Linked DNA regions of Tribolium castaneum. The protein of the gene in region 1 purifies or fractionates together with the protein of each later gene. This does not show direct contact. Links are inferred from orthologs where the notes say so. Each region holds a gene or a part of one and is shown on either strand. Other genes may lie near its edges.

Region 1 (6,612 bases):
GGCGCAAAAAGAAAAAGATGAGAAAACTGATGATGAAAGGATAACTTCGGTGAGTGGTCTGTCGTTAGTACGGGTATCTAAAGGTTAGGATATGAAACGACATATAAATAAAATGGCCCTGTTCTCAGGAGTTTCGTTAATGTCGCCAGAGAGCGTCTAAGTTTTTAGAAAAATGAATTTGAAAAAATGGTTGTATTTGATAACGGTTAACAAAAAATACAGGCAGATAGAGTTAAATTCTCAATAATAAGACATAAACATGATGCAGAAATTTTATCGTATACTATATTTAAAAAAATATATTATTATAACAGAATTTTATTTATTATAGAAATTATTGTAGCAGAAGTCTAAGAAGCTCGGGCTTGGAGCGCAAAATGTTAGAAAAGAACGTTTTTTTAAGTAAATAATAAAAATTATCTAAAGATTAATTCGGAATCGGATTTTTGACTTCCTTGCTAGTATGGCTATGGGGAATATAAAAAAAATGCTCAAAGTCGATTCAAATTTACAAAGAAGATTTTGATCATAACTTGTAATGCAATTTACTTAAAATTAATAGGTCTTTCATCTAAGGGACAATTAGATTTATCAAAAAATATTAATGCAGACAAACATATTTTCAAATCTTGTAATTTTATTGGAAATCATGGCTTGTAAAGCGGTGACTAATTGTATGTACAGGTGAATGATCGTTTTTAGCATTGAAAAAAGTAAAAGACATCTTCACTATCTATCTAATCTTAAATTAAAAGCGCTATAGCAATAATGTATTAATGTCCCCAGTTTTGACAAAATTATCAAAAACACTTCATTTTTGATAAATATAATAAAAAATAATCATTTTATTAACAAGAAAGTCAGAGAAAAACCTTAAATTATTAATCATTTCTTATTTTTTTTATTGTATTATTTAACTATGTACTAGTATTATTAGCATTTTGTATAAATAAACAATCGAAATTTATTATAGGGGACAATTTTACAATAATTGTGATACTCACCATTACTTATCATTATCAAAATTATTAAAAAACGGAGCGAATAATGAATCAAACACTAAAATTTAAAAAAGTTTTGATGAGATAAAGAGGGTGAATCTACCAAATGTATGTCTAAAATAATAATCGCTCAATAAGAATCAGCATTTTTAATTATTATTAATTAAATTAATATTATTATTTATTATTTTATTTAATAAAATACAGGTGTTTTCATTTTTATATTTAAAATTAATTAATTAATATTAACTAATTAATTAAGCCGCAAAAAATTGTTAAACCTTGTGTCATCTGAGAAGAAGCAGTGTTGTTCTGCCATCAAAATCCATACAAAAGTGTTGCTGGTCCCAAAAATTTATTAATAAAGTAAAAATTCAAATAAACGTAGCACCCTCTGCGAGAAAAAAAAAAGACAGACGAAATTTTCTTGCGCTTTGAGCGCCAAAATACAGGGTTTTGTGAATTGCACCCACAAATTTTAACCACTTAAAGAATGCGTTATGAAAAATTAATTTGAAAACAAAACAAATTCCGTATCCAAAAAATTTTTTGATTTTTCTCCCCACGATTTTCACGAGCCGTTCAGTGGGTCTCTCCTTGTTAGGTGCAAGTAAAATTTAAATGAAAATAAATTGCACTGAACGTTGACCGTGAACGTTTTTATGCACAAAAAAGGGATAACTTTGTGCACCAAAAAAATTAGCAGGTGTTTGTTTAGACGTTCGGTTAGTTAGTCGTAATCCTACTTTCGAGTGAATTCACGTGTCAGTTTGAAATTAAATCATTATGGCCAATTATTCAAACGCCGAAATGAGTGATCTGGTTTTAGTGTACGAGGTAGTGGAAATAATCCCGTTACACTCTTACCATCTCCAGCGGGTGCAGGCTCTCAGATTTAAATCCGTGTGATTTTTTTTGGATTCACGTGAAACAACTAGTGTTCAAATTGTGTTCCAAGTAATACCGCCAAGGAGCTAACCGTTTGTGTTACGCAAGCATCAACCGTATCATTTAGAAATCACGAGGGGATGTGTGCAAGACCGCAAGCTTTCCTACCCTGAAGAGTTCATTGCGACCGAAGGGCAACATTTTGAGCAATTTTTATTATGGTACTGACCCACTAACATTGACACTGATAAGTTTTTTTGTCTTTACGCTCTTTAGGTTCAATAGTTTCTTTTTATTAGAATGAATGAAAATATCGTATCTAGACATAGGCGAAGACGGATTTTCAGCCTCAACTTATTTTTAATTTTAACTCAGAAATGATATGTTTTTGGCAAAAATTGGAGAGAGAAAAGTTGTTTCTTTTGACGAGGTCTATTAGTGGTTAAATTTTGTGAGCGCTATCCACAAACAGCCTGTATGTAGGTTGATACGCTACTGCTGAAGATACAACAAAGTGTATGGAATAAAGTTGTAGAGAATTGTTTCCTGTAAAAAAGCCCGCGACACCATATTTTTTTCTACAGTTCAGGGATAAATTAACTTTCTATTACTTGACCACCGGTAAAACGAAACGAATCTGTCGCTCCAGCGTCTTTTGAACGTTTTTTGGGTCTAAACCGTTGATGATAGTGATATGGTTTTGCAGACTTTTTTAGAGGAAATTTAATTCTCTACAAATTTATTCTTAACACTTTTCTTGTACGAGGTTAGATCAATATTTACGGTTCCTGATATACAAAGAAAAAGAATTTTTTAAACATTTTTTGTTTGTTTCTCAACATGATCTTCATGGACTTCAATGTACTTGGTCCATCGATGTTCCAATACTTCAGTGCTTTTCAAGAAAAGTTTTCCGATTGCTCCTCAACCCGGCCATTTCCTGCGGTCATAACTTCATTATCGTCCTCATATTTTTTCCCACGGAGGTTTTCTTTAAATTTTGGAAATAGATAGTAATCACTGGGTGCCAGGTCTGTTAAATATGGAGGGTATTCTAGGATTTCAAAGCCAGGGTTCTGTATGGCAGCCACGACAATGTAGATTTTATGACCGGATTTTGTCCCGATGGAGCAAAATTTTGAGTGACAACTTTTCTGGTCTTTTTGGCTCGATGCATTCGGACAATTGTAGAATTAACCCTGCATAATAAAAACCCATTATCATTATTATTATCATTAGAATTCCTTCTGTAACCTAGAACACTGTGACCAAAATCTTTCCCCCGTTGAATTCGAAATTTGCATAGAGGTGAAAAACCTCTGTGATGCCACTCCATACTTTGCTTTTTGCCACTTGGAAAGGAGGAGAGTCCACTAAAAGATCTGTCATAAGCTTGTGAATTTCAGTTGGTGTTAATCCCTTTTTCTGCAAATATGTTATCACCGCTCTGACATAACATTTTTTCTACTATGATTAAAATTTATCTGTCATCGACCGTTCCACCAACATTTTTTGCAACTTTGCCCTTTGCGCTTTGCAAAAATAGTAAACTCTAAAGTTAATGTGTTCCACCAATTTTTTCACTGGTTGTAAATTTTTGTAAAGCAAAGTATTTTTGCAAGGTATATTTTACAAAGTGTGTAAAATATACTGTTGTTGATGGAACGCAAAGTCGGTGGTGGAGTAGGGCCCAGCTGTTAAAGAACAACATACACATAAACAAAACTTGGCACAATTAATTAATAATGAAAGTTCTCATAGAAAAATAAGAGCCGATATCATGCAAAGCCTACTATGTCAGGGACCGTAAATACCCTCGTATCTTTAACCGTATTCACAGCTTCTTGAAAATTACGGAACGAAGGCGAAATTTTAAATAATTTTTTCTTATGTCTCTTATGAAAATTGTAGTCGTCATTTTTTTTTTAGTTTGTTAGGAGTGCAAAGCTCAAAATTTCTGCACTTTTCTTCTAATAATTAGTGAATTGGTTGGACTTAAATTAATGTAAAACGATTTGACGCCGACACGTACTATTTTTTTGGGTTCAGAAAATTCTGCAATTTTTGTATTTCCTTTCATCTCCTACTTATAGTCCTTCTTAGTCGTTAGTTAATATGAAGTTTAATTTTGTGTTCAGATTAGGGATCATTTCGTGCAATTATCCAAGAAGTTTAGTGAGGAGTTGCAAGCGCAAAAAGAGGAAGAAGAACGGAAGGAGAGAGAATTGTCATTGATAGAAATGGGTGCTTCAAGGAAAAGAAAACGAGATGAAATTGATTCAGAATCGCCTGATGTGGTGATAGTTGAGGACAGTTTTTATACTCCGGTTCCAGTAATAAGCGATGTTATTGATGAAAATAATTTCTATCGCAGAAAAAAGCCACGCAAGCGGAAATTTGATGAAATTAATGATGGAGGTAATGAAGGTGGTAAAAAGAAGAAAAATAAGAAAAAGGGAAAGAAAGGGAATGTACAAGCTCCTGGACAGTTTAAAAATGAAGGAAACAAACTAAATCTAACTCAAGTTCGTTCATTTAAAACTGAAGGAAAACAACAAAATCAAATTCCAATCCATCAGAATAAAGGCAACGGAAATAAACAAAATCAGGCTCAAAATGTACCGAAGAGTAAAAGGAAAAGGAATAATGCCGGACAGGGGCCCCAAAATGTTCAAAAAGGCGGGAATCAACCCAAGAAGAAGTTTAAGTGCAAGAATGCAGAACAGAACAATAAGAGTTCGAATTTCATGCCGTATGATTATTCCTCTGTTGATTTTAGGCAGTTTCAAGGTGGGGCCGGCAGTGCCAGTGGGGGTGTGCAGATGAAAAGGACTTTCCAACCCAAGGTGAGTCAAATTTCCAATTGATATTTCTGGCGCTACTCGTATTTTAGAATCGCGGAAAACACAACAAAAAGGGGGCTAAATCATCGACGTTTGCTAACTTGGGTAGACACAACAGAGGGCAACACAACTGAGTTGTTTATTTAATGTTGTATATTTTTTCAAAAATAATTACAATCGGTTATAACATTTACAAATGCGTTTTAGCGGTTCTTAAAATATCGTATTTATCCCGCCCGCAAGTTCCCTTAAAGTCGTCCAACGACAAGTCAACAATTGCAATCCCTCCCAGTCCTTTGGCTTTCACATAACTGGCTTTATATCCGGCTGTGTCGGTGTCTTCATAACCGACCCAAAAACCGCCGTTGTTATTTTCATCAGGGAGTCTAAAAATGTAGGATCCTTTGCGTTTTGAGGGATCTGGGACTCTTTTCACTTGGAAAGCTTTCTGGGTTTTGGCGTTTTGTGGGTCGTTGAGTAAAGTGCAAATTTCGGGGTAGCTTAAAAGACCGGCGTCTTTTGTGAGGGGGCCTGCTTCAGCAGGGCCCGAGATGTGCAGAGGCGGAGTGCCGTTGATGTCGGATTCGTCGTCCATTGCCCAAGCGCGACCAAAGGTTGGGAGACCCAACACGATTTTGGCGCTGGGGGCCCCGTTACTCATCCTAATTTACACAAGAATAAAAGTCGAAAAATTAAAACGATTTGCTGTTCTAACTAAACTCCACATAGAAGTATTGGGAGTTTTAATAATGATAGTCTCCTGAAAATTTGTATACAACCCTTTCCGTTAGCTTTTTAATGAAAATTAAACCAAATGGCGGCATTTTGAATGGAAAGTTGTGTTTTTACTGCATTTTTGCTTTACCCGAGCGATTTTAAGTGAGTGTTTTCAGCTTTCCCTATCCCTAAATTCAGTCTTTTTTGAAATGATAATGTATTTTTTTGAAAATTTTTGGATTTTTACTTTTGGATCAGGACATTTGGCGTCTTAAAAAACAGGTTAAAATCCTACAAATTGAAAAGCAAGCAATGGAGAAAGACCTAAAACCCTTCAAAAGGCAATAATCTTCATTCACTCCAAAAGTACCTAAATTGGGCACATGAAAAAACAGGGCAGAGTCTTAAAAATTTTCCAAAAAATAAACATCCGTAAAAGATCTAAAAAACTTACAAAATGCTTGTTTTTAAGTACCTAAAATGGCTTTTTATTTTTGGACTGGGACATTTGGCGTTTTCAAAAAACAAGGCAGAACCCTAAAAATTTAACTGCTCTTCCAAAACAAAACAATCGAAAACGATCTAAAAACCCTTCAGAAAGCATTATTTTGTATGAACCCCAAAATTACTCAAATATCCGTAGGCCACTAAAAATTGGGCATATGAAAAAACCGTTAAAATTTCCCAAAATAATGCAAAATTACTTTAAGAACGCCCTAAAAAATTAACAAATTACCTTGTTTTTAATCACTCCAAAATGGCTTTCTGGACCAGAGCAATTGGCGCATGCGAAAAAAAGAGAAAAACAACATCAAATCAAAAAGGTATATTTGGCGCCTTACAAAACAAGACAGAATCCAAAAAAGGTATGTTTTTCCTAAAGTAAACAACCGAAGAAAACATGAATCTTTCAAAAAACAAAAATCAAATTTTTTATGCGCCCAAAAAATACACGAAAATCAATAGACCACCAAAAAAGGGGCACATGGGAAAACTGTTGAAAATCATCCAAAATCAAACATAATTACATTAATAGCAACCAAAAAAACCTTACAGCATTCCTTGTTTTTAGACATAACAAAATGGATTTTTCTTTTTAGATAATTTTATTGGTACACGCAAAAATCATTGAAAAAGAGCCAAAAATCTTATTCAGGTTATTT
Region 2 (7,494 bases), on another chromosome or scaffold:
ACTGATAACACTAGCACTAGTAGAAAGACACAAGAAACCATTCTTATCAGTTTTAATTGTTAATATCGCTATCAATAATTTAAACTTGAATGAATTTACAGTAGCGTTGTTTTCGTATTATATAGGCAATCAATACGCTGGGGGAATTACTTTTTTGTTGGGAATACTTAAGTACAAAACCCAGACACGAGTAAGATAAAATTTATTATGTATTCAAAATATTACATGTAGTACACAAATAAACACATCAACTGTACCAATACGAGATTAAAATGGAACATCAATAAATTCGGTTCAGTTAATATATAATTTCTAGTCAATAAAACATCATACTTTCTGGGAGACTACTTGATATGTACGGTTGAAAATATCACATTGGAGGTATAATTATTTAAAGTTATAGCTAAATAGTGCCATCAAGAACATCCATAGCTACAATAAATAGGAATTATTGTCCTCTTCTGTCACTGATTTAAGAACAGCCAAAGCTCAAATTTTAACAAGTTCGTAAGCTTCGTCAAAATGTAAGACTTGACTTTATTATAATTTACAAAATCTAGTATTCTTGTCGCTTAATCCAGCACAAAATGTTGACCCATGCAAATGAGCAAGTCCCAACATAAACGACCCTAAACGAAGGGGGGATTAACAAGAAATTTACAGTTTGGGCTGGAAGCCAAAACATACAACTAGACTTGAATGTGGGGATTATTTTCTGTTTACATTCTTCAAAAATATCCTTCTTCTTCTCCATAATGCTCATGGCTGTGAAACTTGGGATTATTTTACGTTACAGCAAAATGTGAGCACTCACCAACATAAAAAATTACCAAAATCTGCGGGGTCATTAAGAATTGGTCCAGTAGCAGTTTTTGTGCTACAATTTTGTACGAGGTTCCGATAAATTTCTTGTCTAACCATCTGTACCTACAAACGTGTTACTTTAACAATGTAGAAATTGAGTCTCGGAAAAGTATATTAATTTTGGTTTGTGACCTACCAGTACTGGTATACTGGAGCAATAACAGTCACACCGAGAATTCCAAAACATGTGAGCATTTGGCGGTCATAGATGATCGGTTCTTTATTCTGAAATTTGAGCAAAATCAGAAACCAAAATTAATATAAGGAAACCAAAACCCAAAAAAATAAATACCAAATGGTCAAAAATGGTCCCTGTATTCCGGTTCCGTAAACTGCATATCGAGCAATTGCAGGCGTGTCGTAAGACGTGGGCGTTTTAGTCTAACAATTAACTCAAATTAAAAAATTAAAGAGTATGAGAAAACTTACTCCAAACATAAATAATAAACGAACGTCTTTTAAATGGGCGATCAGTGTCGCTTTAATAATTCACAACTCACCAGAACTTTTCTCGAGATGGTTTGTTGGGAAAATTCGGCTCCCACGTAAAGTGTTCCATAAACCAGAGAATTGGAAGCGATCGGGTATTTGGTAAATGCATATTTAATGAATTTTAAAATACTTGACATGCTGAAACAATTTACTGTTAGAGCCATATTTTAGTAGAAAAAATCGCATACTAGAATTCAATTAATTAGAGTTCACCAACACAATGGTCTTTTTTGAAGCGTTTCATTTTTTTAGTGCCAAACTACTAGCTAACTGATTTGATAAAATGATTGGGTGGCATTTGGGCAAAAATTTCGCAACAGATGCGTTCTTGCGCAAGAACGCTCTTATTGATTGTAAGTCGCTCTGTTTCAAATATCACAGGACGCGGATTCTAATTAGAAATTGTTCGAATGTTGTGGAAAAATTCATAATTCAGTTGGAAACAATAATTACAAGTTATTTATTACAAACAGGAATTTTCCGACGTTTTTATTTGTTTAATATAATTTATGTCACACTTTTAAGGTCTTGTGTATGACAATAAAGGGCTTTTATTTACCTGGAACAACACAGTAACTTAATAACAACGCTTGTAATTCTTCACAGCTACTACACACCACAGCAGATAGGTTTTGTTTAATGAATTCAATTGGCGCTAGTTAAATAAATTACTGTAAATAAAATATGTAACCTTCTACGAGTGTATTATGAGTATTAACTAGCTTATCTTAGGCAATTTTTGAGCTACTTTCTTAGGACGACACGTGATACCTTTCAATTCACTTTTGTAGACATTAAACAATGCACAGGTACGCTTAAGTATCATGTATGCAACATATGGTTACATAAACTTGATCTATGTGTTTTATTGTTTTCTATGAGTTATACGTTAATAATAGTTTTGAAAATAAATGAATAGTAAAGTTCGGCAAATACCTAATCTGTTTGTTTTACGAACAAAGTAATTAGTACGTTATCAAGGCTGTTAAAAATGTGATTGTTTTTTAATTTTTAAGTTTTGCCAAATATCAAGACGATTCGTGATAGATAAATTGTTACAGTTGCGTTCCGAGCTCATCTCAAAGATTCTCCGAACTCATTTACTCAAAAATTAAAACGAATTTCAAAAAATTTGAGACAAAAGTTAGTCTGAGAGGTTTTTACTTTTTTTGTAAAATCCGCAAGTTATTAAACTAATTTTTTAAATCAGTTTGTCAGAAAAACTTTGAATGCTGATCAGACGCTCGTTCGAGTGACTTGAGTTCAAAAAAAAAATAATTTTCTGTTGTTAGGACAGCAAAGCAAAGAAGTTTCTCCACGACCTAAGAATTTACTTTATGATTTTTTTTTTATAAAAAAAAAGAATAATTTTTTGTTAACTAAATTACATGATAAAAATGTGGAAAAACGCCTCGGAAGACTTGTTTCCGGAACGAAACAAATATTTTATAAACTGTGTTTTTAAATATCGTGGTTTTACTTATATGGGAAGCTAAGTACAGTCACCCAAAATGAAAATGATGCGTCTATAAACAACCACCTACCGTGCATTTTTGAATAAGATACTCATTTATTTTACAATATTTGATAAAAAAAAACGTCTAAATCCATAAATCTTTTGACAAAACAACGTCTCAAAATTACAAAATTACAAAATTTTCCAAGCTTTTTGGAATGTATTACCTAAATAAACCGAGCTGAAAATGAAACAAAATTTTTTTTTTATTTTTCTGATTATTTCGTAAAAATTATCAAGAATAAGATAAATATCATAAAATACTTTAATTAATGTTCAAATTTGTTCATTATACAGCAAATTTAATTTCACATTGAAATTTATATTTTGCATCAACCGTGTAAACTATAGATTGCTCCCTCACATTTTGTCTCTAATAAAAGCTTTTATTACTATAATTATTATTATTATTATTATTATTATTATTATTATTATTTATTAATAATTTATTATTTATTTATTAATTAATTAAATTTTCCAAAAAATGAAACCCTCAATTATTTCAAATGATGATAAACGAAATGTCGAATTTCTTAAAACTTGGGCGTTATAGACACGTCATTTTCATTTTGGGTGACTGTACTTATCAATAGCAACTCGTACAGGATGTATAATTTTTCATTTTGCTTCTGCAACTAATTAAGTCGCATGGGGAACACGTTTATTGCATATTTTTAATAAATTAGCATGTTTATATAGCAGTGGGAGTTAGATTTCTTAATAAAACGTTGTGCATGACTAGGTAATATGGTAATGGTCTTTTGTATTCATAATTGCTGGAACAATGTAAGAATTTTTGTTTTGTATTTTTTATAATAAAAAAACAGTTTTTTATATTTCCCGCCTCAGCTGTCAACAAAAACATAACCACAAAAAATATTGTAATATAACCTCCAAATAACTTGTTGCGGCATGTTTTTGTAAAAAAACATTTGAAATAATTAAACAATGTTTACGACTAAAGCTTTTATTAAAAAGAACAAAGTTGGGAATTATCTGAAGGTTAGTATGTGACAATAAACATGGGGGTCCATCTTTTCTAATATTGTAGCACGTTCGAGAACATTATATTCGTGATGACATTTCTTGTGGTCTTCAAGAGTGTGAAACTTGTTTGCCAGTGGAGTCATTCCTGTCCCCAGACCACGAAAACAAATGTTCTTTATTTACTTCTAATCATTATCTAATACTAGACACAAATGTTGTTCTTGATCAGGTATTTTCCGAGTTTATTTTTTATAAAACTAGCATTTAAATTACAAATTTAGATGGATATTTTGGAAGAGTCCGTCATTGGTAATGTGATAATCCTCCACACAGTTTTAAACGAGGTGAAGCACCGAAGTCTACCAATTTACAAACGCTTGTGTGCTGTAATTGAAAATCCGAGTCGTCATTTTTACGTTTTTATAAACGACCACCATCAGTAAAAACATTTTTTCATTATATTGATACAAACCTAAAACATTGCTTCCAGAGGCACTTATTTGCAACAAAACGAAGGTGAATTAATTAATGATTACAATGACAGGTGTATTAGAGCTGCGTGTTCCTGGTACATAAACCATGCCCCTAAACAAAAATTCGTTTTCCTCACTGACGACTCAGCTAATCGGATTAAAGCCCAAAAAGAGGATATACCTTCTTACACCGTCTCGGAATATGTGCAAAATCTCAACACTTCGGGTCTTACCGATAAATTATCGAGGAAAGATTTTCACGGAAATGATTTTACGAAAGACGTTTTTCCCAACCATTTGAGTAATGTTGAGCTTTTGACTGGCATAAGAGAGGGAAAGCTGCTCCAGGGGACTTTCCGAGCCTCTCGAGATAATTTCTTGGAAGGTTTTGTCAATGTGGATTCGTACGAAGAGCCGGTAAGGCAATTTTATAAATACATTATTTTTAATATTGAAACTCGAAGCGAAGCTATTTGTTTTTATTTTCTGTAGGTGATAGTTCAGGGTCGGGCTGGCCTTAACCGCTCAGTGGATGGTGACACTGTAGCTGTTGAGCTTTTGAAAGAGGAGGAATGGGTGTGTCCGAGTGAAATAATCCTAGAGGATGAAGGGGTTGGTGATGAGAGTGTTGACGATGTTGTGACAAAAGAAAACGAGTTACAAAAAGCGACAAAGAAGAAAAGTGGAGCTAAACCTACAGGACGTGTTGTTGGAATTATTCGTAGAAAGTGGAGACAATATTGTGGCATTTTACAAGGGGGCATTGATGGTGTTTATCAGATGTTTGTTCCAGCTGATAAAAGTATACCCAAAATTAAAATAGAAACGAGACAAGCGGAGTTTCTAAGGACTCAGAAATTGATCGTTACGATTGATTCCTGGCCCAAACATTCACGCTATCCTCATGTAAGTGTTATAAGTAAATAAATAATTATTTACTCAAAAAAAATTACCACTAAAGGTAAGCTGAAAATACAATAAATCAAAGACAAACAATGATTATAAAGAAACACTAACAAATAAAATAAAAAAACAACAGTTTACAACTTAGTCTAAGAAAAAATTGGAAGCATGTTAAGAAAGCGTCAATAATAATGTCGTAATAAAATTTATTTATTTTAGAGGTAATTTCCATTCTACTATAATAAGAGTCAACATTTAGAACACTAATATTAAAAGACATTAAAAACTGACTGATTCAGAAATGTTTTTATGGCAAACTATGCAAAAACAGCTGTGATTAGTAAGAAATTTTCTACAATGTCAAAAAAAGTAACATAACTTGAAAATTATCACAGATAGCTATAGGAAATGCTAATACAAATCGATGTAGAAAAAAATTCTCTTCCATTTAATAAAATAAAAATTGGGACATCCCATTTGAAAAAATTAAGTTATGGGCACTTGAAGTTGTTCAAACTTTAAAATTTTTGGGTTTAATAACGTCTTTTCCAATTTTGAATACACTGCAGAACAGATAGAGGCTTTCTCTTTTAATCCTCCAAATATGATTTTGAAATCTCCAAAGCTAAGAGAGTTACCGATTTTTTAAGTGACAGATGCAAATCCAAAAATTTTCAAAAAATCTTAAATATCCTGAAAATGGTTCAACTTAGGTATAGGGAAAGTTGATAAAAATAGCCTTAAAATAATTCCACTAATCCATTTAAAATAAGGAAGTTGCATAAAAAAAAATTACTCAGGAAAAAATTTCTTTTTGCATTAATTTTTTGTAATTTTTTAAATAGGGTCATTTTGTGCGAGCTTTGGGCAACATTGGGGACCAAACCACCGAAAACGAGGTCATTTTGCTGGAACATGACGTCCCTCACAGCCAATTCTCTGAGGAAGTTCTCAATTGTTTGCCCAAAATGCCTTGGATCATAACCGATGATGTAATGTTTATTTTCCTCCCTGATTGTTATTCATTGCGCTTTTAATAGGACGTCAAAAAACGAGTCGATCTCAGACACCTTGACATTTGCTCAGTGGATCCCCCAGGTTGTACCGACATTGACGACGCCCTTCATTGTCGTCCACTAGCTGACGGCAAACTTGAAGTTGGTGTTCATATTGCCGATGTTTCGCATTTTATAAGACCTGGAACGCCTCTAGATCGCGAAGCTGCTTCTAGAGCCACCACAGTGTATTTGGTTAATAATCGAATAGATATGGTGCCAGCATTGCTCAGTTCAAATCTTTGTTCGTTACGAGGAGGAGAGGAAAGATTCGCGTTTTCTTGCATTTGGGAAATGGACCAAAATGCCAATATTTTAAGTACGCGATTTCATAAAAGTATAATTAAGTCGAGGAAAGCAATGACTTATGAAGAGGCGCAACTGATTATTGACGACAAGACCAAGCAGGACGCTCTGGCCGAGGCCTTGAGGAGCTTGAACAAGTTGGCCAAAATTATGAAGCAGCGCAGACTGGTTAATGGGTAGGCACTTTTATTTACAAATATATTTTTTACAATAAAATACACAATACAACAAAATTTGTCAAAATCAAACAAACAAACAAAAATCAATTTTTTTAACGTTACTTTGTTTCTTTATTAGAGCTTTAGTTCTTGCATCGCCTGAGGTAAAAATCCAGATGGACTCCGAGACGATGGAACCCTTGGACGTGGAAGTGAAAAAACTGTTTGAAACAAATTCCATGATTGAGGAATTTATGCTGCAAGCAAATATAAGTGTCGCTGAAAAAATCCTTGAGGAGTTTCCCGATTGTGCGATGTTACGTCGTCATCCCGTCCCTCCAGCTACTAATTTCGATCCCCTGGTTAAAGCAGGCCGTCACCTTGTACGTACTACTTAACGTCACCCCAAAATTTAATTTCGCTTTTCAAGGGCTTTGAAATTAGAGTGGATTCAGGCAAAAACTTGGCAAAATCACTCGATGAAGCAGTAAACACAAAAAATCCCTATTTGAACACAATGTTCCGAATTTTAGCCACACGTTGTATGCTACAAGCTGTTTACTTTGTCAGTGGGACGTACCAAAAGGAGGAGTACTTCCATTATGGTCTAGCTGTGCCTTTGTACACACATTTCACGTCACCAATTCGTAGATACGCCGATATCATAGTCCACAGGCTACTTGCAGTTATCTGTGGTGCCGACTCCACTTATCCGGACCTTTTGGATAAGAATAAAACGA

What was found.
Region 2: the proteins of Rrp6 (region 1) and Dis3 purify together in Drosophila melanogaster (affinity purification with western blotting; 3 studies listed by BioGRID, with this or other methods). This does not show direct contact. The link is inferred for Tribolium castaneum from reciprocal best matches to the Drosophila melanogaster genes Rrp6 and Dis3.

What each region holds. Positions count from the first base shown.
Region 1 is NC_087398.1:13,222,668-13,229,279, reverse strand, and holds the end of Rrp6 (exosome complex component 10 homolog), read left to right. Parts: coding exon 1-49; intron 50-4,027; coding exon 4,028-4,735; intron 4,736-4,782; coding exon 4,783-4,866; 3' UTR 4,867-4,922; downstream 4,923-6,612. Other genes in the region: Idgf2 (imaginal disc growth factor 2 precursor), read right to left, coding at 4,923-5,394. UniProt on the Drosophila melanogaster protein: Catalytic component of the RNA exosome complex which has 3'->5' exoribonuclease activity and participates in a multitude of cellular RNA processing and degradation events.
Region 2 is NC_087394.1:36,185,132-36,192,625, reverse strand, and holds the start of Dis3 (exosome complex exonuclease RRP44), read left to right. Parts: upstream 1-3,342; 5' UTR 3,343-3,820; coding exon 3,821-3,874; intron 3,875-3,923; coding exon 3,924-4,088; intron 4,089-4,140; coding exon 4,141-4,298; intron 4,299-4,349; coding exon 4,350-4,749; intron 4,750-4,824; coding exon 4,825-5,238; intron 5,239-6,080; coding exon 6,081-6,227; intron 6,228-6,275; coding exon 6,276-6,772; intron 6,773-6,893; coding exon 6,894-7,137; intron 7,138-7,184; coding exon 7,185-7,494. Other genes in the region: mpv17-like protein, read right to left, coding at 557-765, 815-927, 1,157-1,245, 1,365-1,493.